Linked DNA regions of Coturnix japonica. The protein of the gene in region 3 interacts with the protein of the main gene of each other region in a pairwise test. Links are inferred from orthologs where the notes say so. Each region holds a gene or a part of one and is shown on either strand. Other genes may lie near its edges.

Region 1 (6,176 bases), on a different chromosome or scaffold from region 3:
ATTGCATCCCATCCCATTGCATCCCATCCCATTGCATCCCATTGCATCCCATTGCATCCCACTGCATCCCATTGCATCCCACTGCATCCCATTGCATGGCTGCTCCTATCCACCCCATTCCCATTGCATCCCATTGCATCCCATTGCATCCCATTGCATCCCATTGCATCCCATCCCATCCCATCCCATCCCATCCCATCCCATCCCATCCCATCCCATCCCATCCCATCCTAAAACACCCAGCACCTCAGGGCACCAAGGGAGGACAGAACCCTTCGACCACAAATATATAGATGTTCTTAAATGGCAAATAAAGCACTTCCCCCCCCCCACGCTTCTCCTCTTGGGGACAGGAGGAGAGAACAAACATGTGACAAGCGTTAGTCATGTCGCTCTGTGCACTACCAAAGTGCTGTAGTGATATGCAGCTCTGCCTGCAAGCAAATCTGAACCACTGGCTGTGGCTACCAGGTGCTGCTGCAGCTGGGGGTCTCCAGACCCCATATCTATAGGGCATGGAGAGGAGAATCACTGGATGACAGCATGGAGAACGTCAGCCTATGGCTGTTACCTCTGCATTGCTGTTATCAACTGCAGGGACACTGAAAGCACGCTGGGGTTCTTGCTGCAGCATCTGAACATCGCCTGCATGGGAAGATGCTCTCCTTTATGGGGGTTAGGGGCTTAGCATACAGCCCCCATGGGACATGGGGAGCTAATGGGGTCCTTGCCAGCACTCTGGGAGCTGTGGGTAAGTGATGCCCTGGGGAGGTGATGGATGGAGCTGCTCTGGTCACCACACTGCTGCTGGAGCTGCCTGACAGCAGCTCTGCTCCGGCAGCCACAGGGGATCTGTCTCACCTTGGCGGTGTCCTTTTAAGACCAAAATATGCTTGGAAAATTGTTCGTGTGATGGAGTAAATAGAAATGTACCTGCGGGTTGAGAACAGGGGCTGGTGTCCTTTATGGAGAGCTGTCCTCTGCATCCTGCCTGCGAGGCTCACAGCTCAGCCCACCACAATCCCACCCCACTGCTCATGGGGCTGCATAACAGGACCCCCCCTTTCCCCCAATGCTTTTCATCTCCTCAGCTCTAAGAAGCCCCTGAATGGCTGCTCCCCATTGCATGGGGTTGGGTCAGGCCCAAAGAAGGGGAAAGGCTGAGGCCAGTGCTATGGGGTCACCGCTGCTCTCAGCTTTCAGGTTCAGAGGAAGGAAGAGCTGGGGCAGAGAAGATCTAGATGGTGAAACTGGAGATGGAAACGATGCCAGGCTTCAGCTTTCAGCCTGCTGACAGATTGGACCATTGAGGAAAACAGAGAGAAACACACCCAGATCTGAAATGCTTGAGGATACAGGAGTGAGAGCTGAGCACTAAGTGTCCCTATGCAGGGCCTGGTGAGCCCAGAGCTGCAGCCAGGAGGCCTGAGTGCTCCCTGCTGCAGTGTTTGTGTGGCTCCAGCCATTCTGCTGCAGAGCAGAAATCTCCACCACCCAATATATTTTTAAGCAAAACTGTGTGTCATGCATCTGCTCTGCTCCTTGCCAGGACTCCTTTTTTCCCCCCCTCTTTTTCCCTAATGGAGCCTTTGGTCTTAGCACAGGAGTTAGGGCTGGGGAAAGGGAAGCTGGTGGGGCTATGCTGGGGTTTGGGGATGGATTCAATGCAACGCAGCCCTTTGTTTCCACGTTCCCAGCTCAAATCTGTCCTAGCACACAGTTTACACCTGAGGCTCCTTCACTGCCTGCTGGGAGCTGAGTGTGGGGCTGCAGCTCTTAAGGGTGGGCAGTAGGACTTGCAGATAGGACTGCTTCCTAATGATGGCAGCAGTAGGAACTGGTGGTGTTGGTGGCAGGGCCAGCACTGAGCTCCCTATGGGAGCTGCGGGCAGCACTAGGATGCATTTTTTTTCCTGCACGAAGCACATTTGAGGATTGACTCCATAAAGGCAATTAATTATCGGGCTACATCAAGAGGTAAACCTGCATTTGGGCACCGTGCTCACATCAATAAAATCAATGGCAGCCTGGTCACTGCCGTGAGCTGGATGTGGCTGAAGATGGGCCGAGCTCCAGCTTAACACTAGATGTGCATCCAAGGGATGTGGGTGGATTCTTGGGGCTGTTTGGGCAGTGTGGGACCACTTCATCCCATGAGCATCATCACTGCAGGGATATGCTCATCCCAGTGGCATCTCCATCCCAAGAGCATCCCCAAACTGAGAGCATCACCACTGTGGGACCATCCTCAACCCTGGGAGCATCATCATCCCAAGAGCACCCTCATCCCAAAAGTATTTTGCCCTCATCCCAAGAGTATTTTCATCCCCAAAGCAAACCCATCATTGGACTGTCCCCATTGTTTGGCCATCTCTACTGTTGTGGCTTGAACCATCCCTTATCATAGGACCATCCCCATCTTAGGACCATCCCCATCATGGGACCAATCCCACTGTGTGTCCATCCCTCCTGTTGGGCCATCCCCCATCATTGGACCATCCCTATTGTGTACCCATCCCCCCCATGGGACCAAGCCCACCATAGGGCCATCCCTCAAGGTGAAACCTGTAGCATCATGGTGATCACATGCTGGTGCTATTGGTACACATCAAGACACACATCCCCCCAACACCCCAACACCCCAATAGTGGGCTCACACCCACACCCCCCCAGCACCCCACATCCCCCCTATAACCCCCATAACCCAATTGTGGGCTCACACCCACATCCCCCCAGCACCCCACACCCCAATGGTGGGCTCACACCCCCAGCACCCCACACCCCACATCCCCCCTATAACCCCCATATCCCCCCTATAACCCCATATCCCCCCTATAACCCCATATCCCCCCTATAACCCCATATCCCCCCTATAACCCCCATACCCCAATTGTGGGCTCACACCCACATCCCCCCAGCACCCCACATCCCCCCTATAACCCAAGACACCCCAATGTTGGGCTCACACCCACATCCCCCCAGCATCCCATAACCCTCACATCCCCCCAGCACCCCACATCCCCCCTATAACCCCCACACCCCAATGTTGTGCTCACATTGCCCTACCTGCCCCTATAACCCAACTCACCCTCCCAATAACCCCAATGGACCCCCCATCTCCCCCCACTCCTCACCTTCAGGTCAGGCGGTTTGGCTCTCGGTGTGGGCCCACCACCACCACCACCCATCTCCGGTACCTCCCCCGCTTTGCCTTCCATAGCAGCAGCCCCTTGTTGTTCCCCCGTTATCCCGTTATCTTCGGGCTGCTGCAGCTCATCCGAACGGCACCGCTTCATTCCGTCTCTCCGGGTCCTTTATGGCCTCGGTGGTTGTGGTGGCGGTCGGTGCCCTGGCGGCCTTTGTGGTGCCCTCGGGATACGAACCGTCGTCCCTCCCGCTCCTGCCCCGCCGTGACCGGGCCGAGCGGCGGCACCGCGCCTCGGCGGCTCCGCACCCACCGGCATCGCCACCACCACAGATCAGCTTCTTGATTGACATCTCAACCAACCAATAGCAGAAAGCAGAAGGAGGGACCGAAAGCTGCGATTGGTGGATGGAGCAGAGGAGCTGTCAAGAGCGAGGTGCTGAGGTAGCACCGCCGGGTTGTTACTAGTGGGACTACATTTCCCAGAGTGCACCGCGTGGTAGGGGGGGTGAACTACAACTCCCAGCATGCCTCGCGCGCAGCGTCCGCTGCCCTCCTCCCCGTTTGCCCCGCGGCGCCGCCATAAAGGTTCCGTGGGACGCACGGCTCCGCTTCGCACAGTCGCTGCCCCATAGGAGGAGGAAAGCGGAGCCGGTTGGGGGTAGGGGAGGAGGGAGGGTGGGGGGTGGGGGGGGTGGGATAAGACTAGGCCAGGCAGCTGTGGTTAGCGTTGTTTCCTCCGAGAGGGGCGGATAGGCCGCAGCCTGGAGGGGCCGGAGCGTTCCGCGTTGTGGGGAGGGGATATAGGAACGGACACGGAGGAGATGGAGGGTGAAGGAGCCCCTTCGTGGCGGGGTGGGTTGAGCCGGGAGCTGTGTCGTTGTTTCGGACATTACAACCGGCACTTAGCGAGGTTACAGCAGAACCTGAGAGAGACCAAGAAGTTCTTCCGCGACGTCAAATATTCCCAAGGGAACCTCTTCGCTTCGGGGGTGGCGAGCGGTGAAGGGACCCACAGCGGGACCGGCGGAACGAGGGATGGAGGTGAGGCCTACGGGGGTAGGGAGGTTGGGAATCTCGTGTGGGGCCTAATGGGGTGTATGGGGCTGAGGTAGGACCTGGGGCCTATGGGGGGGCGCTGAGGGGTATGAATGGGGCCCTATGGGGTGGGGCTGAGGGGTAGCCATGGGGCCTATGGGGGTGTATGGGGTAAGCTGAAAGGGTGATATTCGAACGGAAAAACAAAGTAGAAAAAAGTTAAAGAATGGGGCCTATGGGGGTTAGAGGTAGAATGGGACCTATGGGGCCTACTGGGGGGGCTTGCCGGGGTGATAATGATGAGGGTGGGCCCTGTGGGGGGGCTGGGGGTATTTAATGGGGCCTAAGTGGGGGGGGGGGGGGGGGGGGTTGATAAGGGGGTGGGGGGCGAGAGGGGCCCCCCTGGGAAAGGGGGGTTTAAGGGAAAAAAAAATGGGCTATGGGTGTATTTGCGGGGCGCTTGCAGGGAGTAGAATGGGCCCGTGCTGGGCTGTATGAGGGCTACGCTGAGGGGTAGAATGGGGCCCTGTGGGGGTGTATGGGGGGGCTGAGGGTTAGAAATGGGGGTGTAGGGGGGGCTGAGGGGTAAATGGGGCCTATGGGGGTAAATGGGGCCTATGGGGGGTAAATGGGGCCTATGGGGGTGTAGAGGGGGCTGAGGGGAAGAATGGGGCCTGATGGGGTGGGCTGTGTGCAGAGTGGGACCAGTTGGTAAGGTGGGATGTGGGGGTTGGAGGGGATAGGTTGTATTTTGCTGTTATGGGGCTGTTATGGCAGGGTGTGGGGTGTGTGTGTGTGTATGGGAATCTGGGCTGATGATGAGGGTGATTTGGGAGACTGTGTTGTTTTCTATGGCTCCCCTTGGTGTGAGGTGGGGATTGGCTTCTTGCAGGTGGTAGCAATAGGTCCAGAAGAGGTGGTGGCCTTATGTTGTGCCAGGGAAGGGTCTCTTGGATACTGTCAGAAATCTCCACTCTAAAAGAGTGGTCAGGCATTGGCACAGGCTGCCCAGGGAAGTGGAAGGTTGAGAACTGTGGGTTTGTGGCAATGAGGGATATGGATCTGCACAGATGGGTCAGAGTTGCGTTTGATGATCTTAGGTGCCTTTTCCAACCTTTATAACCCCATGGTTTGGGAAGGCTTGTGGGCTGCAGCAGGTAGGTGAGCTGTGAGGGCTGCAAGGTGAGCTGTAGCCTATGTCGGGTTGGAAGCTGTGGGGTGTGGGCCAGCCAGGTGAGGTACTATGAGCTGCTGGCTTTCAGAGTGTCCTATGTGCCATGCCATTCATCTATTAGTGTTGACAAACATTTATGCAGTTTGGAGACCTCCTGCCTTGTGCAGAACTCTGTATTCCATCAGACTGTCTCGTGAGAAGACTTCAGCGTGACATTAAATATATATAAAGATCTTCTTTATGCATTTCCAAACAGTTCATGAGTCATCTCTGTTGGCTACTTGTCCATGCTTGTCTTATGCTTGCCGTTCCTATTTGAAAGTGTTGTTGAGCTCCTCTGTTGCTCTGTGTCCAAAAAGAAAGTGTTCCATAGGAACTTTTAGGATAGGAGTAGCTTGCTAAAGATCTAGCTGACGTGTGTTTGTTTATATATCTTTCAGTGACTTTAAGGAAGGAGGAACTAGCTCGTTTGGCTCTTTCTGTTGCTCTCAGTGCTCTTTGAATGGAGCATTCAACAGGAGTTGTTCTTGTTTGGTTACTTCTTGTAAAGCGATGCCAGCCCAATATCAATTACATATTAAAAGTCTGCTTGTAGAGCTTTATAGATGTGTGTGCGTTATTAATTGAACATTCCTGACGTGAGATATGGATTCCACCAGATATCCTGCCTGTTTCTGCCATGGAATGCTTAAAACCTGGCTTTCCAGCACTAACTTTGACCTGGTTTGACTTTACTGTTGCATGGGTTACCCATTGGCCTTCAAGTATCAGGACTTCAAGAAACACAGACAGCTTTGAAACTTGCTCATGCGAACAGTA
Region 2 (6,049 bases), on a different chromosome or scaffold from region 3:
AGGCATGGGATGCTGCTCGTCCCAAGCTTGGGTTTCTACCACTGGGTTCTTTCTTTTAGTATGACCATCACCATTGCACTCATTTTCCTGTTTACTTTCAGGTCCGACAGGCAGCGGAAAGACGACATTCATTAGTGAGTATGCGCTGGACCTGTGCACGCAAGGGGTGTGCACGCTGTGGGGCAGCTTTGAGATCAACAACGTCCGCCTGGCCAAGATCATGCTGACCCAGTTTGCCACCCGGCGCTTGGAGGACCAGCTGGAGCTGTATGACGAGTGGGCCGACCGCTTTGAGGACCTGCCGCTCTACTTCATGACCTTCCATGGACAACAGAACATCAAGTATGGCACCATCCCTTTGTCCTTTAATGGAGTTCTCCTTCCGTGTGCTGTGGCACAGAGGGGTAGATGTGGGGCTGGGCACACTGTGGTGGTTGGGGTGGCAAAGGGTGGCTCACTGGGCTGCACAGTGGCATCCAACTGGTGGAGGGGGGGTGGAGGAAAGGAAGGAGGGAGATCTTGGGTGGTGCTGCCACCTCCCCCTGTGCCTGGCTGGGTGTCCCCAATGCTGGTGTTCCCCTTGCAGGACAGTGCTTGACACCATGCAGCACGCCGTCTACATGTATGACATCACCCACGTGGTGGTGGACAACCTGCAGTTCATGATGGGCCACGAGCAGCTCTCTGCAGACAGGTAATGCTTCTCTGGGAGTAGTGATACCACCTGGCTGTCCTGTCTGGTGTAGGAGCCCACATTAGAATCATTTGGATTGGAAAACACCTCAAAGATCATTGAGTCCAAACCCAGGCCATTCTCACTGTGCTCACTAAACCATGTCCCTTGGTGCCACATCTTTAACACCTGCAGGAAGGCTGATGTCACCACCAGCCCATTCCAGTCCCTCACTGCTCTCTGAGAAGAATGATCCTAATATCCAACCTGTCCCATTTTGGGGCAGTCACCCCCACTGAGCGCTGACACACATGGGGTTGTGGCACTGTCCCCATTTGCCCCCTTGCTGTTCCCCTGCAGGTTGGCAGCACAGGACTTCATCGTCGGCGCCTTCCGCAAGTTTGCCACCGACAACACGTGCCACATCACGCTGGTCATCCACCCGCGCAAGGAGGACGACGAGAAGGAGCTGCAGACCGCCTCCATCTTCGGCTCTGCCAAGGTGGCTCCTCCTGGGCCTCAGGCGGGGACAGGGTGGGGACATTGGCACGTCGCCGTGACCCAAACTGTGCTGCAGTGGGGCTGGGTGTCCCCTGCCATCTGGTGGCACGCGGCTGATTGATGCTCATCAGCTGTGGGTGGGATGTGGCATGAGTTGCTCCGTGGGGTAGCAGGGAGGACGCTGGGTGTGGGGGTGCCCCGTGCCCTGCAGCACCCCCTGGAGATGTTCTCCTCCCCCAGGCCAGCCAGGAGGCCGACAACGTCCTCATCCTGCAGGACCGCAAGCTCACGACGGGTCCCGGGAAGCGCTACCTGCAGGTGTCCAAGAACCGCTTTGATGGCGATGTAGGCGTCTTCCCGCTGGAATTCAACAAGGCCTCGCTCACCTTCTCCTCCTACGGCAAAAGCAAGGCCAAGCTGAAGAAGGTGAAGGAGGAGAAGGCGCCTTCACCCAAGAAGGGTCCCAATGGAGGAGGTGTGGGTGGCTCTGGCAAGCCCTGAGTGTGGCAGGGACAACCTTGGTACTCGGGCACACCAGGTGCCGTGCGGCTGCGCTCCTCCTGAGCAGAGCACGATGCTGGGAGATGGGAGAGGAGTGGATGTGCAGGCTTTGGGGTCTCTGTACCCTGAGCAGGTCAATATAGGGTTGCTAAGTGGAGGCTGATGGCCCAGGTTTACCTCCCGCACGGTGTGGTGCTAGTGCAGCTCTGCCGGCTCTGAGCCCGGCCCCTCTGGCCACATGTACCACCAGCAGCAGTAGCAGCAATGCCTCAGGGACACAGCCCTGGGCGCCTCGGAGCCTCTCATGGCAAAACACTGTGTCTGAGCCAGTCCTCCCCAGCACAGGGGAGCCCGCCGTGGGCTTTTGGCCCATCCCTCTGTTTTCTTTACACTTTTATTAAAGCAGAGCTGTTCAAGCTGTTTGTCCTTCGCTGCATGAGCGTCCCCGTGCTCCCATCCCCCATCCCTCCAACTTTGGGTCCCATTCAGCCCCGTGTCCATGCTGTGCGTGGGGCAGGACGGCACAGCGGGGCCCCATGGCCCCACGCACACACACACCTCCCGCCCCAGCGCTGACCCAGCACCGGGCACCTCCCCGCCACCGCGCCCCACGGCTCCCACGCGTGGGGCCGGGAGGAGGCATTGGCCGCCGCGCCGGGAGCCGGGCCCATGGCGGAGGACGGGGATGTGGAGGTGAGCGGGACGCAGCCCCCCCCGTGCTGCCTGCGGGGCCGTGGTGCGGGCTGAGGCCCTGCCGCCCCCTGAGGGCCCTTCGCTGCCGTCGCTGCCCCGCGGCCCGGCCGTAGGGCAACCCCCTGCCGCCTCCCATCCGCCGCGGGGCCGGGGGCCGGGGGCGGCGGGGCGGGCGGGGCCTGGCGCGGGCCGGGCCGGCGGAGAGCGGCGGTGCGGAGCGGAGCGTGAGCGAGGGCGGCCGGGCCTGGGCCGGAACGGGCCGGTGGGACCCGCGGGGACACAGTGGGGCGCTACGGAGAGGAGGGACGGGGGGGGGCGGCCCTGACCCCGCTCTCTCTTCCTTTTCCCGGCTCAGGGGGCGGCGGAGTCGGGCCGGGACCCGCCGGACGGATGGGCCGCGGCCGGCCAGGTGAGAAGCGGGGCGACCCGCAACGGGAGAGGGGGCCCGGCGTCACCCCGGGGTGATGCTGGGGGCGGTGGAAGCGGGGGGCGGCCCCGGGGCGGTGCCAGCGCGGCGGGCGGAGCGCGGCGGCCCGAGCGCATCATGGGGCGGCCCGGCCCGGGTGGGTCCGGCTCGGCCCGGGGGGACGCGTCGGTGTGGAGCTCCAGGGCGGGGGGAGGGGGCGGAGTGGGGACCGTGAGCTGTGGGAGAGAGGGGTGTAGGGACGGGATTGGGGAGCGGGGTGATGTTGGTGCCGGGGTTGGGGGGGTTGGGGAGGAGGATGCTTCAGGATGAGGTGTTTGGGGCGTCTCTCTGAGGCTGGAGCTGAGGTATGGCAGTGTAGGCAGCGCTGTGGGGCAGAGCAGGGGTGCAGGACCGGGAGCAGTGGGGCAGAGAAGGCACCGTGACTGCTACGCAGTGGGGACCCTGCTGAGTGCATGGGGCTGCCCCTGTGGGGCTCTTCCTTTGGGCCCTGCACGGGAGCACTGGTGCTGCGTGAGCCCCCTGCATGCCCCGTGCCTCCCCCTGCTCCGGCTAATCCCAGCTTTATGCTGTTCTGCTCGACGCCTGCTCATGCCCGGCATATCTCTTGCAGCCATCCCACATCTGCCTGCGCCATTATGGGGGTCCTATATTCATTGGTGTCCTATGGGATGAGTGAGTGAGTTTATTGCTTAAGGCCTCACGTTGCCTTTCTTTTACAGGCTGCCTGCGCCCCCCTGCCCGCTGGGGGCCCCCCTGCCATGGCCATTGTGCAGACACTGCCAGTTTCCATCGAGGCCACGCCTGAGGCTGCTGCCCAGCTCCGCACTGCCACCCGCTCCCCCCTGCCCACCCACGGCACCATGGGCAGTGTGGGCAGCCTGATTGCCAGCCGACCATGCCACGATCGCTCCTGCCAGCCTGCTGGTGCTGGTGGTTCCTTCCGTGTGCAGGATACGCTGCTGCGAGCCAGCCCCCCGGATCCCCTGCTCCACACTTTGCCCCCCAAGAAGCCGTGCTCAGCCACTGCCCATGCCTACACCAATGAAGTTTTTCATGGGGAGTGGCTGGAGGCAGCCTCTCCCGTCAGCCCCTGCAGCGACTCAGACGAGGCACGGGATGAACAAGCCCCAAGTGGTGGCATCCGGGGGCCGCCCCCCAAGCTTGTCCCTGTCTCTGGCAAGCTAGAAGAGGTAAGGTGGAAGCAGTGCTGGGGGATCTGCTCAGCCCTGTGCTGCACTGGGGCTGCTGGGCTTGGGGAGACGTGCTGGTGCATGCATAGAGAGAGCACATGGTCCATGTCGCTGGGGGTGGTGGTGATCTCTGTGCTCCTGCTGCCCTCTTCCTCATGTCAGGAGTGGCCATGTGTGTGTGGGAGCCTGTCTGAAACTGCTGCATGGAGCAGAGGGCACCTAGTGGTCATCTTCTATAGAGCTGTGACACTCTGAGGTGTTGGGTGGGAGCAGAATTGGTGGGGTTACCAAGTCCTCCCTGGTGCTCTGGCAGCATCCCCAGCATCTGCCAGGCCACCTCTGGAGTGTACCTGGTCCCCAGATCCCACTCTCTCCTCTTTTGCCTTGCAGAATGTGGAGAAGACCCTGATCCGCCCTATGGCATTCAAACCGGTGGTACCCAAAGTCAGGGCTGCTCCGGGCCCGGCCAGCCAAGGGGTACGTCCAGGGGCTGCAGCATTATCAGAGAGCCAGGTGAGCCTCACCCACCTGCTGGGGACCACCGGGGCCGACAAGCCTGGCTCACTGAGCTGCCGCACCAGCAGCCACTCAGGCACGCTCTCAGACTCGGGACGCAACTCTCTGTCCAGCCTGCCCACCTACAGCACAGGCTGCAGCCAACATACTGAGCCTGGCAACCTCACAGCCACCCCTCACAGCCACCCTGAGCCCCCAGGTGGCTACCGCCCACCAGCCGGCCCCTCCAACTCGGACAGTGGGCGCTCATCCTCCAGCAAAAGCACGGGCTCGCTGAGTGGCCGGGGCCGGCCCTCCTCCGAGAGTGGCTCCTGCGGGCGCTCGCCGCTGCCTGGTGAGGAGGTTCTGCTGGTGCGTGAACTGGAGGACAAGCTGCGGGAGAGGGAGGCCGAGCTGCAGCAGCTGCGGGACAGCCTGGATGAGAATGAGGTGGCCATCTGCCAGGTAAGAACCATATAAGGGTAAGGAGAACCAGGGGAGCTCTCAGGGCTGGGGGTGCCCATATAGTCCTATTGTGTAGATTTGGGTTATGCATGCAGTGATGTGTCTGGGGAACCCCATGGAGATTGTAGATGCTGACTTGGGGAGACATGGAGGTGGTGTGGGATGTGGGATGTCCCATCTCAGCGTGTGCCTGTGCCCAGGTGTATGAAGAGAAGCAGCGTCGCTGTGAGCAGGAGCTGGAGGGTTTGCGGCAGCGCTGTGCGGCCCAGGTGCGACAGGCGGCCCAGCAGGCGCAGCGTGGGCAGCAGGTCCTGCAGCTCCAGGTGCTGCAGCTGCAGCAGGAGAAGAAGCAACTGCAGGAGGACTTTGCTCAGCTGCTGCAGGAGCGGGAGCTGCTGGAGCGTCGCTGCGCATCCTTCCAGCGGGAGCACACTGAGCTGGGGCCACGGCTGGAGGAGACCAAGTGGGAGGTGAGCTATGCTGGGAACAACCGTGGTGTCCCTGTCACTCGGGGGCCAGGGTGGGGCCGTGGCCGGTGCCTGAGCATCTGCTGTCCACAGGTGTGCCAGAAGTCGGGTGAGATCTCCCTGCTGAAGCAGCAGCTGAAGGAGTCGCAGGCAGAACTGGCGCAGCGCGGTACGGAACTGCTGGTGCTGCGAGCGCAGCTGCGCGAGGCGCGGGCCGAGCTGCAGGCAGGTGAGCAGCAGGCACGGGGGCTGCAGGAGGCCGCCCGGCTGAAGGCACTGGAGCTGGAGGTGTGCGCCAATGAACTGCAGCGACGCAAGAGCGAGGCTGACCTGTTCCGTGCCAAAGCGGGCCGTCTGGAGCAGGAGGTGGCCGGGCTGCGGGATGCCGCCCGAGGATGCTGCCCTCAGCCCAGCGAGGGCTGCCCCGAGTCCGGTGAGGAGCTGCGGGGCATGGCGGGGCTGCAGCGGCAGCTGGAGAGGCTGCGGGCAGAGGTGGCCCTGGAGCGGCAGCGCGGGCAGGAGCAGCGGGACGCCTTCGAGCAGGAGCGCAGCACGTGGCAGGGAGAGAAGGAGAAGGTGATCCAGTACCAGAAGCAGCTGCAGCTGAACTACGTGCAGATGTACCGCCGCAACCGGC
Region 3 (5,845 bases):
GTATCCAAACCTGAGTTCAGAAAACTTTCTGAAGTCAAATTATGTGTTTGTTGTTTTTTTGTTCGTTTGTTTTTACCTGTGCAATTTCTTCTGGAGTTGTAACTGGTTTAGACAGCTTCTTCAGTTCAGCTGTGATGGCATCAACTGCGAGCATCACCCCTAGAGACGAGTGGAATACTTGTCAGTGAACAACACAAGGCATATAGCACAGAAAAAACCCATTTGATTCTACAACAAAAGGCAACTCATTGAGGAAACCAGACAGATTTAGCATGTGCAAAGGGAAAAAGCTAGCAATTAAATATTGAAAACATAGGTGAAAGAATTACCCCTCCTGATTTCCACTGGATTAGCTCCTTTGCTGATCTTCTCAAAGCCTTCTTTGGCAATAGCCCGTGCAAGTACCGTTGCAGTAGTAGTACCATCTCCCGCCTCTTCATTTGTATTATTGGCAACATCTTGAACTAATTTGGCTCCGATATTTTTGTATTTGTCCTTTAAGTCGATTGCCTTTGCCACTGTCACGCCATCCTTTGTCACTTTGGGACTCCCCCAGCTTTGCTCAATAATGACTGTTCTTCCCTAGGGTGACAAACAAGAAACATTAAATGAAAGGCAGATAACAGATAACACAGATAACCCTTAAATCACAGTAAGAAGCCTATGATTGAAACACAGCCATAGGAAGCTCGATTCTTTGTGCATTTTGAACAGAGAAAAGTTACAGATCTCATTGACGATGACTATGAGGAACAGAAAACCCTCAGTGCAATTGCATTCATGTGCCACACTGACTTCTCTAGAATTGGTGGCACTTGCTTTAACTAAAGCTGAACTATCCTAATTAAAGTACAACATTGATAAGGAAAATTAAGGACCGTACAAGGAACACAGGGCAGATATATCCTCTCACACAGGTCCCCAGCCTGAATAGCTGCCCCAATCAATCACACTCCAGACTTTCAGCTGGAGACAGCAGAAGCAACCACCTCCCTAGCACTGCTGCCCTGAATCTCTTCAGCTACGGTGACAGCTGGAATACTCGGAGGTGGGGAAGGGAGACCAAACACCCACCTCACTGCTCTCACTGCCAGCACAAGTCCCCTCAGGTGGCCCATCAGGCCCAGCTGGGTGCTCACGCTGCTGTGGCTGTGTGCCAGCGTGGCTTCAGCTCTGAGCAGAGCCTGGCTTACAAGCCCAGCTATCCAAGGACTCGGATACAGCGTGCTACCACTGTGGTGCACCATGTTCCCTGCCCACTCACGTCTGCCTCAGTGTTACAACTATGCAACGCTGCCGTGCAAGAGGCTACGTGGCTCCTGAAGTACAATTAGCCCTAGGAACTGCGTAAAAGAAATGTAAAGCTTCAGTTACCAGCTCTGTGCACGTGAGAGAGCCGGTACATGGCTCATTCTGTGCTGCAGAACAATTACATCAAGTTAATATTTAACACAAGTTTTTAGTGCTATTTCATTCAACCTACAATGTTACTAAATCCAAAGAAGTCCTTCCTCCCCTCCTTGGTTTGCTCCATTTCATTCCTGGTTTTGAACAGGCCTTATTCCAAATGGGTTTGGTAGTTAGGAGTAACTAAGGAAAACCTACTTACATCCCATCGCATTGAACAGCTTACACTCAACATGAGGATGTGATGATTGTGAATAGAGGAAACACACTTGCATTATGAGTGGCCCTGCATATCAAGGACTACAGTGACAAAGCAATGGGCCTGTTGGCAGCAATGTCAAAAGATTGTGCAAAACTGGAAATCATGCTCCTTTAAATATGAATGAGTGCAGAAGGGAAGTTTCCTCATAAGTCTGGTATTTCTTCAACATGCTGGAGGCTGTATCAGGAGGTGTTACAGAACCATCAATCTCTACAAATACCTGGAGACCAGCAGATGCACTGAGTGCAAATGAACAAGGATTCCATGAGGTTGCACTACGTTGCATCAGGATGTGCCCTTTAACCAGCACATTAAAGCCAAGCTCAGGCATTCACAATGCAGCCTAAGCCCAAACCAAGCGTTAAATCAGCTGATGACACTGCAGCCTCTTATTGAGAGCTGTTCTTATGGAAAGCAGCCAGAGATTGCTGACATCGCTGCTCCTCAACCTTAACTGTGTCCAGTTAATGACACTTGGAGCATGTGAAGCTCCAAAGGTGTGCATAGGAGAAATAATTTAATAGGTACCAAGCAGCCTTGAGAAGATTAACAGATAACAGGTCTGAAATCATAGAGAAATCACTATCTGAACCTGATTTGGAACAAACATTGCTACAGATGTGAAGTAAAAAGGCATCTGCTCCTTTAGCAGGAGCCTCATTTTGTGTTGTATGACTGTGCGGAACACAGCAGCTCATTTTCTTGCAGAGGTTCCCAAACTGCACTGCACCCTACAAGCAATAGATGCCCCTGCCATGGATTTTCCATCAAGGTTAAAGCATTTCAGAGCTGGCTGCAAGCTCAGCATTACGCCTTGAGTGTTTCCACTTTGCTGCTGGTAGGAGATGAAAGGATACAAAGCTGTAATTTGGCCCGATAATAAATAAGCGCTAATGTAACTGTTCCCTTTGGAAGGAGTTAATTATCTACCACGCCGTTAGGGGCAGTAACTCGAGCCAACACGCGGTCGCCCCCTTGCCGTCCTTAGTGCCTAAAGGAAGGCAGGCGCCCCTCACAGGGAGCAGCGGCCCGTCCTCCTTTGTGCCCACGGGATCGATGTGAACATGGCCACGCAGCTCTACCCACGTGCAAGTAACGGGACTCCACGCACACTATCGTCGCCTATCGCCACGTTTTAAGGCACGCCCGCAATAGCAGCCCGTCCCGCCGTTACCTTGGGCCCCATGGTGACGGCTACGGCATCTGCCAGCAGATCCACCCCCTGCAGCATCAGGGCCCGCGCGTCCGCCCCGAACTTCACATCCTTGGCGTAGGCCCGAGTCAGGTGCGGGGCGAGCGCTCGGGATACCGGCCTGATCTGGCGGAGTACGGCGGGCAAACGGAGCATGTCTGGGGGGTAAAACCCGATGTTAAAGCCATACAGATTTAAAGCAGCACATGGTCCGCCCGCAGGCCGCGCTCGGAGCCACATGCCCACCCGTCCCCACAGCAGGACGCGCCGCAAGGTCAGAGCCCGCCGCCCCCTGCCGGCCACAATGCAGCCGGCCGCAACACAACGGGGCTGTGAGGAGCCATAGCAGGGCTGCACACATATACACACACACACACACACACACACACCGGACCAGGCGTGCAATGGGAGCAAGGCCGCCCAAGTCAGCACGCGGCGCTCCCTCAGCACCACCACATCGCTGTGAGGAGCGGCCCGCCCCAGCACAGCACGGCTCAGCACAGCTCCGCACGGCACAGCACAGCTCAGCTCGGCTCCCCACTGACCTGCGTTGTGCCGGCGGCGCGTCCCGTAGCGCTGTGTGTGCGTTCTCAGCTCTCCGCTCCGCACGGCGCTCAGGGCGGCGCGCACTCACACACTCACACACTCCCTCACATGGCCCCGCCCCCGCCGGGCACACACTCATGCGGCCGAGCCCCGCAACCTGCATAGCGTCTGGGTCCGCCCATAGAGGAAAAAAGGATCTAGGCGTACGGCGCGCTCTGCGCATGTGCAGGAGGCTCCGAGCATGAATCACCCATGTTCCGGGGCTCGCCAATTCCAGAACCTTCTGGAATGCCCATGCTCGCCCCGGGTCAGAGGGCGGCTGACTTCACTTCCGGGTGGCAGCACCACCCCGGTCCCGGCCCGGCCCCGAACCGAACCGCCACAGCACCGAGACACACAGCGACACACCGGGACACACAGCGACACACCGGGACACACAGCGACACACCGGGACACACACCGGGACACACACCGACACCGGGACGGCGGATAACGGAGCCGCGGCACCGGGCGGCACGGCTGGGGGCGGGGCGGGGCCAGGAGCCAGGGTCGGCGGCTGCGCATGCGCACGGGGTGACCTTCCTCACGTGTGCTTGGAGCGGCGCGGTCACTCGGAGCGGAGCGGGACGGAGCCGCCATGGTGAGTGAGTGTGTGAGTGAGTGTGTGAGTGAGTGTATGTGTGTGTGTGTGCATGTGCCCCCACAGCCGGCACCGCGATTGACCACACGCTCGGCCGCGGCCCCGTGTTCCCGGCCCTGCGCTCCTGCGTGGGGCTGTGCCCGCTGCTGCGCCCCGCCCGTCCGCAGGGCAGTAGGCCGCACTATGGGGGTGTCGGCAGCTTGGTGCTGCTGGAGGGTAATTGATGGTGATTGATGGTGATTGATGCGGCCGGTGGGGCTGTGGGGGGATGGAGGCAGGCAGGGATAGAGCGGGTGAGCCCTTCGTTGCAGTCCTGCCTTAGCGCCCTATGGACGCTCGGTTAGACCGGCCCGGAGCTGGGAGTGGGTTTGCAAGGTCACCGAGTCCTTGGGGGCTGCGTTGGGGGCCGCAGGAGCGGGAGGGAAAACGGAGCTGCTGGTGCTGTGCTCTGTAAGCTGCTCCCATCCAGGGCTTCTCTGCAGGAGCCCTAAGGGCACAGCTGTCCTTGTACCTGCGTCAGTGTATCGTTATTAAGATCCTTATAAAATTAGGAAACGTAAAGTGGCCAGCGCTGGAAAGGACCACGATGATCATCTCGTTGGTGAGAGCAGGCAGAAGGACACAGTGTTACCTGAAGCTTAGGCACAAAGTGGCAGCATTCTGCGTTCTGATTGCAGTTGAACAGAACGTTTGGTTTCAGGGAATCTAAAGAGAAAGAGATCAGCACTGGTATTTTCTTAGAATGAACATCATCCCGGTTCACAGTCATTTCCATGTCTTGCATCATTCCAGTAATAGCAGTTTAGCTGGGGATGCATCTCTCACACGTTGCCTACAGCTTCGTTTCCCCCTAGTTTTAAAGCTCCAGTGCTGATCAGTGTCAGTGGAGGGTGCCCAGCTGCCAGGCTGCTTCTAGCCATTTCAGTGAGCCCAGGGTACCTGCCTTGCATCACACTGTCTCCATGTGGCTTGGCAAGGCTCCATAGCTTTCCTCCTAAACCACAGCAAATTCCTTTTCCTGCCCCTGCTTAGCAGGGTGCTGTGCTTGCCTTCATCTCCTGTGTGGGAGCTGGAGTGCTGCTTCCATTCCAACTAACAGCAGTCTTCATTTGGACTTCAGACTTGATTAATTCTCTTACATCACCTGAAATGCCATGCCTTTAAACTGCCCAAAAAAGACAGGCACCAGCTACAGGCCTAGACTGACAGTTTGTTACTATAAAATACTCTGCTACGGTGAATGAAAACGCAGCTGCCCTCAGTCTTGACTGAGTTCTGTCTTTGTGATCACCGAGCTGTTCTCAGTGAGCCGCTGTTCTCAGTGAGCCGTACTAAGTAACGGTTTAGGATTAGCCACATGTGGCTCCTGCTCCACCTGCTGGAGGCTCATTCCCTCAGCTGGAGCGAGGAGCCTTAAGGGCACAGAGTGCCCAGTGTGAGCAGCTTGGGAGTGAGCTGCTTCTGAAGAGCTTGAAGCAGTCATAGCACAGCTCTGCAATGCAATCACAGGTGGTATAATTCGCTTCTATGGAAAAGAAGTGCTCAACTTTCTTCTTGTTCTCTGACACCCACTTAGTTGTGGGTTTTCTTGCTTTAGATGCGCTTTTGTTCATCTGTTTTTCCTTTAACGTTGTGCCCCTTCACAGGCAGGAAAAGCATTTAGGAAGTTCCTTCCCCTGTTTGATCGCGTTCTGGTTGAACGATGCGCAGCAGAGACTGTAACCAAAGGAGGCATCATGATTCCAGAAAAAGCTCAAGGGAAAGTGCTGCAAGCAACAGTGGTAGCAGTTGGATCTGG
Region 4 (5,993 bases), on a different chromosome or scaffold from region 3:
CTCCTCACTTTACTGTTATTTCTTCTTGTGCTTATAGGAAGCAATATTTGACAGTTTTACCCTGTAAGACAGGGGCTATTGGAATGCTGTCAGCTTTTGGGTTTTTTTGTTTTGTTTTTTTTTTTTTGCATTACAGATCAGAAGAAGCTGGTGACTTTGTTAGGTAGATGTTAGGTGTTGCATGTTTGCCTATTCTTTCTTTTCACCATAATTAATTAGGCTCTGCCTTATCAAAGTTAAAGCTACACAGAAGCAGGAAACAGTTTAACAGATATTCTTCACCAACAGTACATTATGTACAACAAGATGCCCATCAACACAGATTCACCCTAATGTGAGTCTGAGTCATTCTCTAGTCATTAACTGAAACACATAAAAAAAATTCTGGATGAAGCCACCAATGTGACGTTATTACCAGTTTTGCTACTGTAAGCGCTGCTGCTAAAGCCTCTCTGAAAATTGCTAGAACTTGTCTTAGGGGAAGAGTAAATATGCACTGATACACTAGATCTTCCACAGACTATGACACTTTTCTTTTGGGAAGGCATAACTTCTTTCTATGACCCATCTCTTCAGAAGCTCTGAACTAGAGGATGCTCTGTAAACTGTTCCATCCTCAACTACACTCACATGAGATGCTGTTGCTATAAGTGACATCGCTGTTGGCCAGATTTGTATGAGGAGTTTCCCTTTTTCATGAATCAATGCATCTTGAAGTCACGCATGTTTCCAGACATCCAATTAAAATCAGAGAAATCTGATACTGTCCTTCAGTGGTGTATGGGAAATTGGTAATCACAGCCTGAACCTCTGATTAATCAGCTGAGGCAAGTTTCGGGTCAGCTGTGGGAACACAGGTGAGGGTAATTCAGCTGTGCTCCCGGAAGGGGTGGAGCCTGACTCTACCTTCTCTAGACTTTATTTAAGGGCTGACCGCCACTGAAGCAGCATCTCTTTGAGATTGCTCCTTGGTAGAGATTGTCTCAGTGTTTTCTAGCAGACTGAAAGCCTCTATTGGGTGAGTCTTTCTTTTAAATAACCTTTTGGATACTTATCACCACCTCTCTTGTACCATCTTTACATTATTGTCACTATACATCAATGTACATGTGGCTTCTACCTTCAATCATACTTGGAGGTCAAAAGTATCTTGACAATTACTTGGTAATGTCTCTATATCAGCTTCTCATATGTAAACAGTTTCTACTGCTTGGCTCAGAAGTTCCCCACCTTCCCAGTAATGAACACAAGATCCTATTTCTTAATTGTCCCAGTCTAAACTACTGGAAATGACTACTGCACAGAAAGCATTCACTTACTGCACTTGGAACTATATCCTGTAAACAGATTTAGTTTTGTTCCCTAAAAGGAAAGGAATTGAGCTAAATTCAGTTCATGTACAGAAGGAAGATACACTGAGGACAAGATGAAGAAGAGGGCAAGCAGTAGTGCACCCTCAAGTGCTAGGGTAGTATTGATTTAATTAGCGTGTCAGGGAAATACAGCTGATAGCTCTTGGAATCTCAGCAGCAGGAGAGACAAGGTAGTTTATCTTCACATGGACTCAGGCACCACTGTCACAGTGATGACTCAGCCATAGCTGACACTAGCAGGAAAGCTTCATGTGGCAACAATGCTCATACAGCAAACACTGAAATTCAGGCTTACATCTTTAAGCAACACAAAATGCAATATAATGAATGCTGTGGATCTATGAATCTTTGTTTCTTGTACAGAGAGAGTGAAATTATTACATTGTCACAGAATGGACTGGGCTGGAAGGGATCTCAAGGATCGTGAATCTCCAACCCTCTGCCACAGGCAGGGCCACCAACTTCCATATCTAATACTAGACCAGGCTGCCAACGGCCCCATCCAACCTGGTCTTGAACACATCCAGGGACGGGGCATCCACAACCTCTCTGGGCAGCCTGTTCCAGCACCTCACCACTCTCGTGGGTAAGAACTTAACATTACTTCAAAACAACATTTCCTATATACTGTTCCAGTCAGGAGTCTTTAAATGAAGTCATTCTTACTGGGCCTTGTTCAAAGAGCATTTGAAAATAACAGCCTCAAAGGTTTAATACAGCAAATACAGAAAGTTTCAACGAAAGTGAAAGTTCAGGAGTTTGATGACAATTTGTGCAAATTAAAACTGAATTCTAGAGCCAGAACTGATTAAAGTAATGGTAGCAATGTTGATGCTCATGTGGTAATGTCTATATTTCACATTTAACACACTGTTAGAGATTATTCAGAGTTTACATTTATAGTAATGACTTTTTTTTTCTTTTTGGAATTTCTGAAGTTTTGAAGTTTTTACTAGCTCTCTAGCTAGTAAACATCAGATCTGAAGTACTACAGAAAGAATAATTTCATATCAGACTGATGTTTTCTGTATGTACTCACCCACTGATCTCAGGAAGCGTTGGCAAACCTGCTTCACAGACACATGCAAAGGATTGCAGCCCACGTTTTTGTTGCTTGTAGTTATTAATCAGGTCCATTAGCAATGCTTGGTGCCCGATCTTCTTCACCAGCTGCTGCACCATACGATCATTCAGAGCCAACAGAGCTGCTCCACTTACTTCTTCTGCTGATTGAAGGATATTACAATCACTTTGAAGTAATTTTAAAGCTATAGAAACATCCTACATGGCTAGAAATGGGATGGTATTTTAGGACAAAATCAAAGATACTTTCTATTAGTGCTCTGTTTCTTCAGCTGCTTTAAAGAAATGATGTCTTTTAGGTACTGTCCTTTCCACTGCCAGAAGTTCAAGTCAGTGCCCAGTGATCTCTTACCTTCCAGTAAGAGAATGCTATGTCTGAAATGCACAGAAGCAGTGAATTAATATTATAATTCTTAAAATCAGACCTTACTTTGACCGCAGCAGATTGTTGGATTGTTCGTTTTGTTTTTCCATAATGAAGAAGTGCAAGGAGCACACAGCACAGAGCATGTTCACCTTGCAGTTTCTCCTGTACTTTTTTAGTGTTTATATACACAAACACATTTAGAGTATGCACCCTCTGAAATAATGCAACTGTAGCGGTATAAAATAGAACCTGTTATGCTTGTAGCACTGACAGCTGTCTCTCAAGAGAAAGCGCACCTCTTTACAAGCAGCCTTAGACTTTCCCCCTGTGCTTCTCAAAGACCACATCACAAACTTGCACTTATTTTAGCTTACTTGCATGCCAGCCCCCAAACAAGCTAAGTAAACAATTAAAAGCATTTTTAAAAGATAAAAGAAACTCAGAAACAACAAGAATTGCCTACCACGAAACTTAGGAACTAGTTCTGCTAAATTGCTCTGTCTCAGCCAGTTGCAGACTTGATCCACAGACCAACTTTCCATCGTTAGGTTGGCACAGCTAAGTTTCACTGGGAAGCGAAAAGAGAAGACTATTTTCATGCAGAACTAGAGGAAAAAAATATAGAAAGAATAAAGTACTTTGCGAATGCACTTATGTTTACATGCTCTGAAAAAAGAAAGAGTGAGGATAATCCAACTAATGCCTGTCGCGGGTGGCAGCTTCCTTAAATCTCTTTCCTCACCTCCTCTCCTTTCGCCGCTTTCTCTCTGCTCCCAGAGACAGCCTCATTCCTTATAAAACACGACCTGCTCCATCACCATTAACACCCAGGTTTCCATACAGAGAGGAAAAAAAAAATAAGGTGTGAAATTCACCACCACCGCGGCTGACATCTTAAAGAAAGACACACACAAAAAAGGAAAGACAACCAAAACCATCGGATAAGAGTCTGTCGTTTGTATGCTTGTAGAACATCAAGCACATTAACCCCTTCTGCACAACCAATGGGTAGTCAGGCAAACGCTTAACAGCCAATTAACGACAATTAGTGACATTAAATCTGGTGGGGTGGGGAGGGAACAGTCCCCGCTGGCAGCCTCTGGTCGCGTTCCTCAGGCAACAGGAGGCTCCGGAACGAGGTGACACCGTGGCGGGACGGGTACATCCCCGGAGTGCCAACTCTGACAGTAGAAAACTCTCTGAGAATGATTTTACTCTTAATGTGCCTTAGCTCCACTACATAAGGGAGCACCTAATGTGCCATAATTGTGCTTTGCAATCCACTCTGGACAATATTAGAGCAAATCATACAGGCAAGATTTTTCAGATGTGAACATGAGTGTCTGACGTTGTCAGCTAAGTACTTCCTTGCTCAAAACACGACCTAGCTTACTAGTTCCTAGGTTACCTTGTATTGTGGTTGGTACCCCATTTCTGGAGACTTTCAATGTGAGGCTGGATCAGGCCCTGGGCAGTCTGATCTAACTGCGGTGCCCCTGTGCTCTGCATCAGAGTTGGACAAGGTGGCCCTCAGAGGTGCCTTCCAACTCAAAGGATTCTATGATTCTGTACACAGCCTTGCTCTGCTGTCAGAGCAACGTTGGTATACCCATGCAAACCTCAGCAGTACCTATTCTATGGAACTACCAAGAAAAAAGTAAATAAATAACTAAGTAGCATACCACCATTTCCCCTCAACTGCAGAGATCCACCAAGACAGACACACTCAGATTATGCCGGTACCCTTCAGCAGCTTAAAAGGGTTAAGTTTAAGGGGAATGTCTTGCTGAATTACACAAGTGGATTTAATATGATATGACAACAGTAGCCATACAACTCCTCCCCCAGGCTAAGCAGCAATAACAGGGTGTGAGAAGTCATTATTTGCTGAGAACTCTGGTGTAAATTAAAAATCACACCTTCTTGTCACACTTTTTACTTCATTGCAAAGAATGAGACTCAAAAAGTCTCAAAAAAAAAACCAAATCAAACCAAAAAACTTGAAAGGTAAAACTTAATGCAAAGCAGAACTATACTATCCTTAATAACCAGTAGAAAAGTAGAGAGATACATTAAAATGGTGGAAAGGTCATTACTTCAATCCAGTAGAAGGTCTGCATCCCAGAATAGTTATTGCTAAAGCAGACATGGAGATACTAACATTTAAAAAGCATCAAGCAAATGACAGCCATGAAAAGCCATATACACTTTTATCACTGTGCAACCAACTCTACAGCACAATGTCCATTTGCACATGGAAATGTGGGTTGTGCACTTTAGGGATAATAAAGTGATGACAGTTTAGAAGTTTATTTAAAGAACATAATATTAAGGGTCACTACACACAAACTTCAAAATATGTCTCAAAAGTGCTTGCTCACTTCCTTGCAAATATTCCAGATAGGGGAGCTGGGAAAATAGCACTCTAGTCTTCTATCAGCATTCACTTGTGAGAAATAATCTATGGCACTGCAGACTACAGATACATTAATCTTTAACAGACCTCTACACGGCTGTCAGTGAGGTCACAACAAAGGTTTTAGTGCATTTTAGGACCAGAGTGAAGAATGTGATGTATGCACTCCTTTATGTCACAAATATGTGACAAATTTGGCACAGAGTCAGATCTCAGCATTACAAGTGTGAAGATTAGGAATTGATGCATATCATAAATAAAACTCAAGTGTTACCTGTGTGTATTTTTGAATTCTATCTTAATTCATTTTTATCTTTGTGTGCATTACAGAGATGTATTATTTTCCCTCTGCTTACTCCCAAACTAATACAACTATTTAAAATAATTAAATCCAAGCTACAATCTGGAAAGCAGAATGTCTAATCTTGGATACAGTACATGGAAATGTGATCACTTAGCAGGACACCAGTTATTCACCAACGCTCTTAGTAGTATAAAGGGAAGTACTCTAGGAGAAGCACCTCTGCCACCCTCCTAATTAAGAAAATGCCAGCAGCTTCCTACTGACAGTTATCAGGTACATGCTAGCACACAGCATCCATCTTACATCCATCTTACATTTGCTTATAGAAATAGTTAAATGAAGCAATGTGAGGGAAAGAAAATTCAAGTATCAGTGCAGGAATAAATCTCAAAGTTCACGCTTCAGTTCTATTTCCCGTGCTCTGCTGTAGAACAGGTAGCCACAACACAA

Evidence for each region.
Region 1: the proteins of HSPD1 (region 3) and TMCC2 interact in a two-hybrid assay, tested with the Homo sapiens proteins (2 studies listed by BioGRID). The two-hybrid records come from large-scale screens. The link is inferred for Coturnix japonica from reciprocal best matches to the Homo sapiens genes HSPD1 and TMCC2.
Region 2: the proteins of HSPD1 (region 3) and LZTS2 interact in binary tests that used the Homo sapiens proteins (3 or more experiments, as listed by UniProt). The two-hybrid records come from large-scale screens. The link is inferred for Coturnix japonica from reciprocal best matches to the Homo sapiens genes HSPD1 and LZTS2.
Region 4: the proteins of HSPD1 (region 3) and SAMD3 interact in binary tests that used the Homo sapiens proteins (3 or more experiments, as listed by UniProt). The two-hybrid records come from large-scale screens. The link is inferred for Coturnix japonica from reciprocal best matches to the Homo sapiens genes HSPD1 and SAMD3.

The regions. Positions count from the first base shown.
Region 1 is NC_029541.1:2,357,485-2,363,660, reverse strand, and holds the start of TMCC2 (transmembrane and coiled-coil domains protein 2), read right to left. Parts: upstream 3,493-6,176; 5' UTR 3,297-3,492; coding exon 3,135-3,296; intron 1-3,134.
Region 2 is NC_029521.1:20,199,050-20,205,098, reverse strand, and holds the start of LZTS2 (leucine zipper putative tumor suppressor 2), read left to right. Parts: upstream 1-2,557; 5' UTR 2,558-2,777; intron 2,778-2,866; exon of another isoform or gene 2,867-2,959; intron 2,960-3,514; 5' UTR 3,515-3,553; coding exon 3,554-3,985; intron 3,986-4,375; coding exon 4,376-4,945; intron 4,946-5,145; coding exon 5,146-5,415; intron 5,416-5,505; coding exon 5,506-6,049. Other genes in the region: TWNK (twinkle protein, mitochondrial), read left to right, coding at 102-342, 587-694, 1,034-1,175, 1,415-1,675. UniProt on the Homo sapiens protein: Negative regulator of katanin-mediated microtubule severing and release from the centrosome. Required for central spindle formation and the completion of cytokinesis.
Region 3 is NC_029522.1:5,800-11,644, reverse strand, and holds the start of HSPD1 (60 kDa heat shock protein, mitochondrial), read right to left. Parts: upstream 3,543-5,845; 5' UTR 3,407-3,542; intron 3,020-3,406; 5' UTR 3,018-3,019; coding exon 2,844-3,017; intron 583-2,843; coding exon 330-582; intron 160-329; coding exon 77-159; intron 1-76. Other genes in the region: HSPE1 (10 kDa heat shock protein, mitochondrial), read left to right, coding at 4,045-4,047, 5,694-5,845. UniProt on the Homo sapiens protein: Chaperonin implicated in mitochondrial protein import and macromolecular assembly. Together with Hsp10, facilitates the correct folding of imported proteins.
Region 4 is NC_029518.1:52,441,255-52,447,247, reverse strand, and holds the start of SAMD3 (sterile alpha motif domain-containing protein 3), read right to left. Parts: upstream 3,493-5,993; 5' UTR 3,423-3,492; coding exon 3,287-3,422; intron 2,600-3,286; coding exon 2,413-2,599; intron 1-2,412.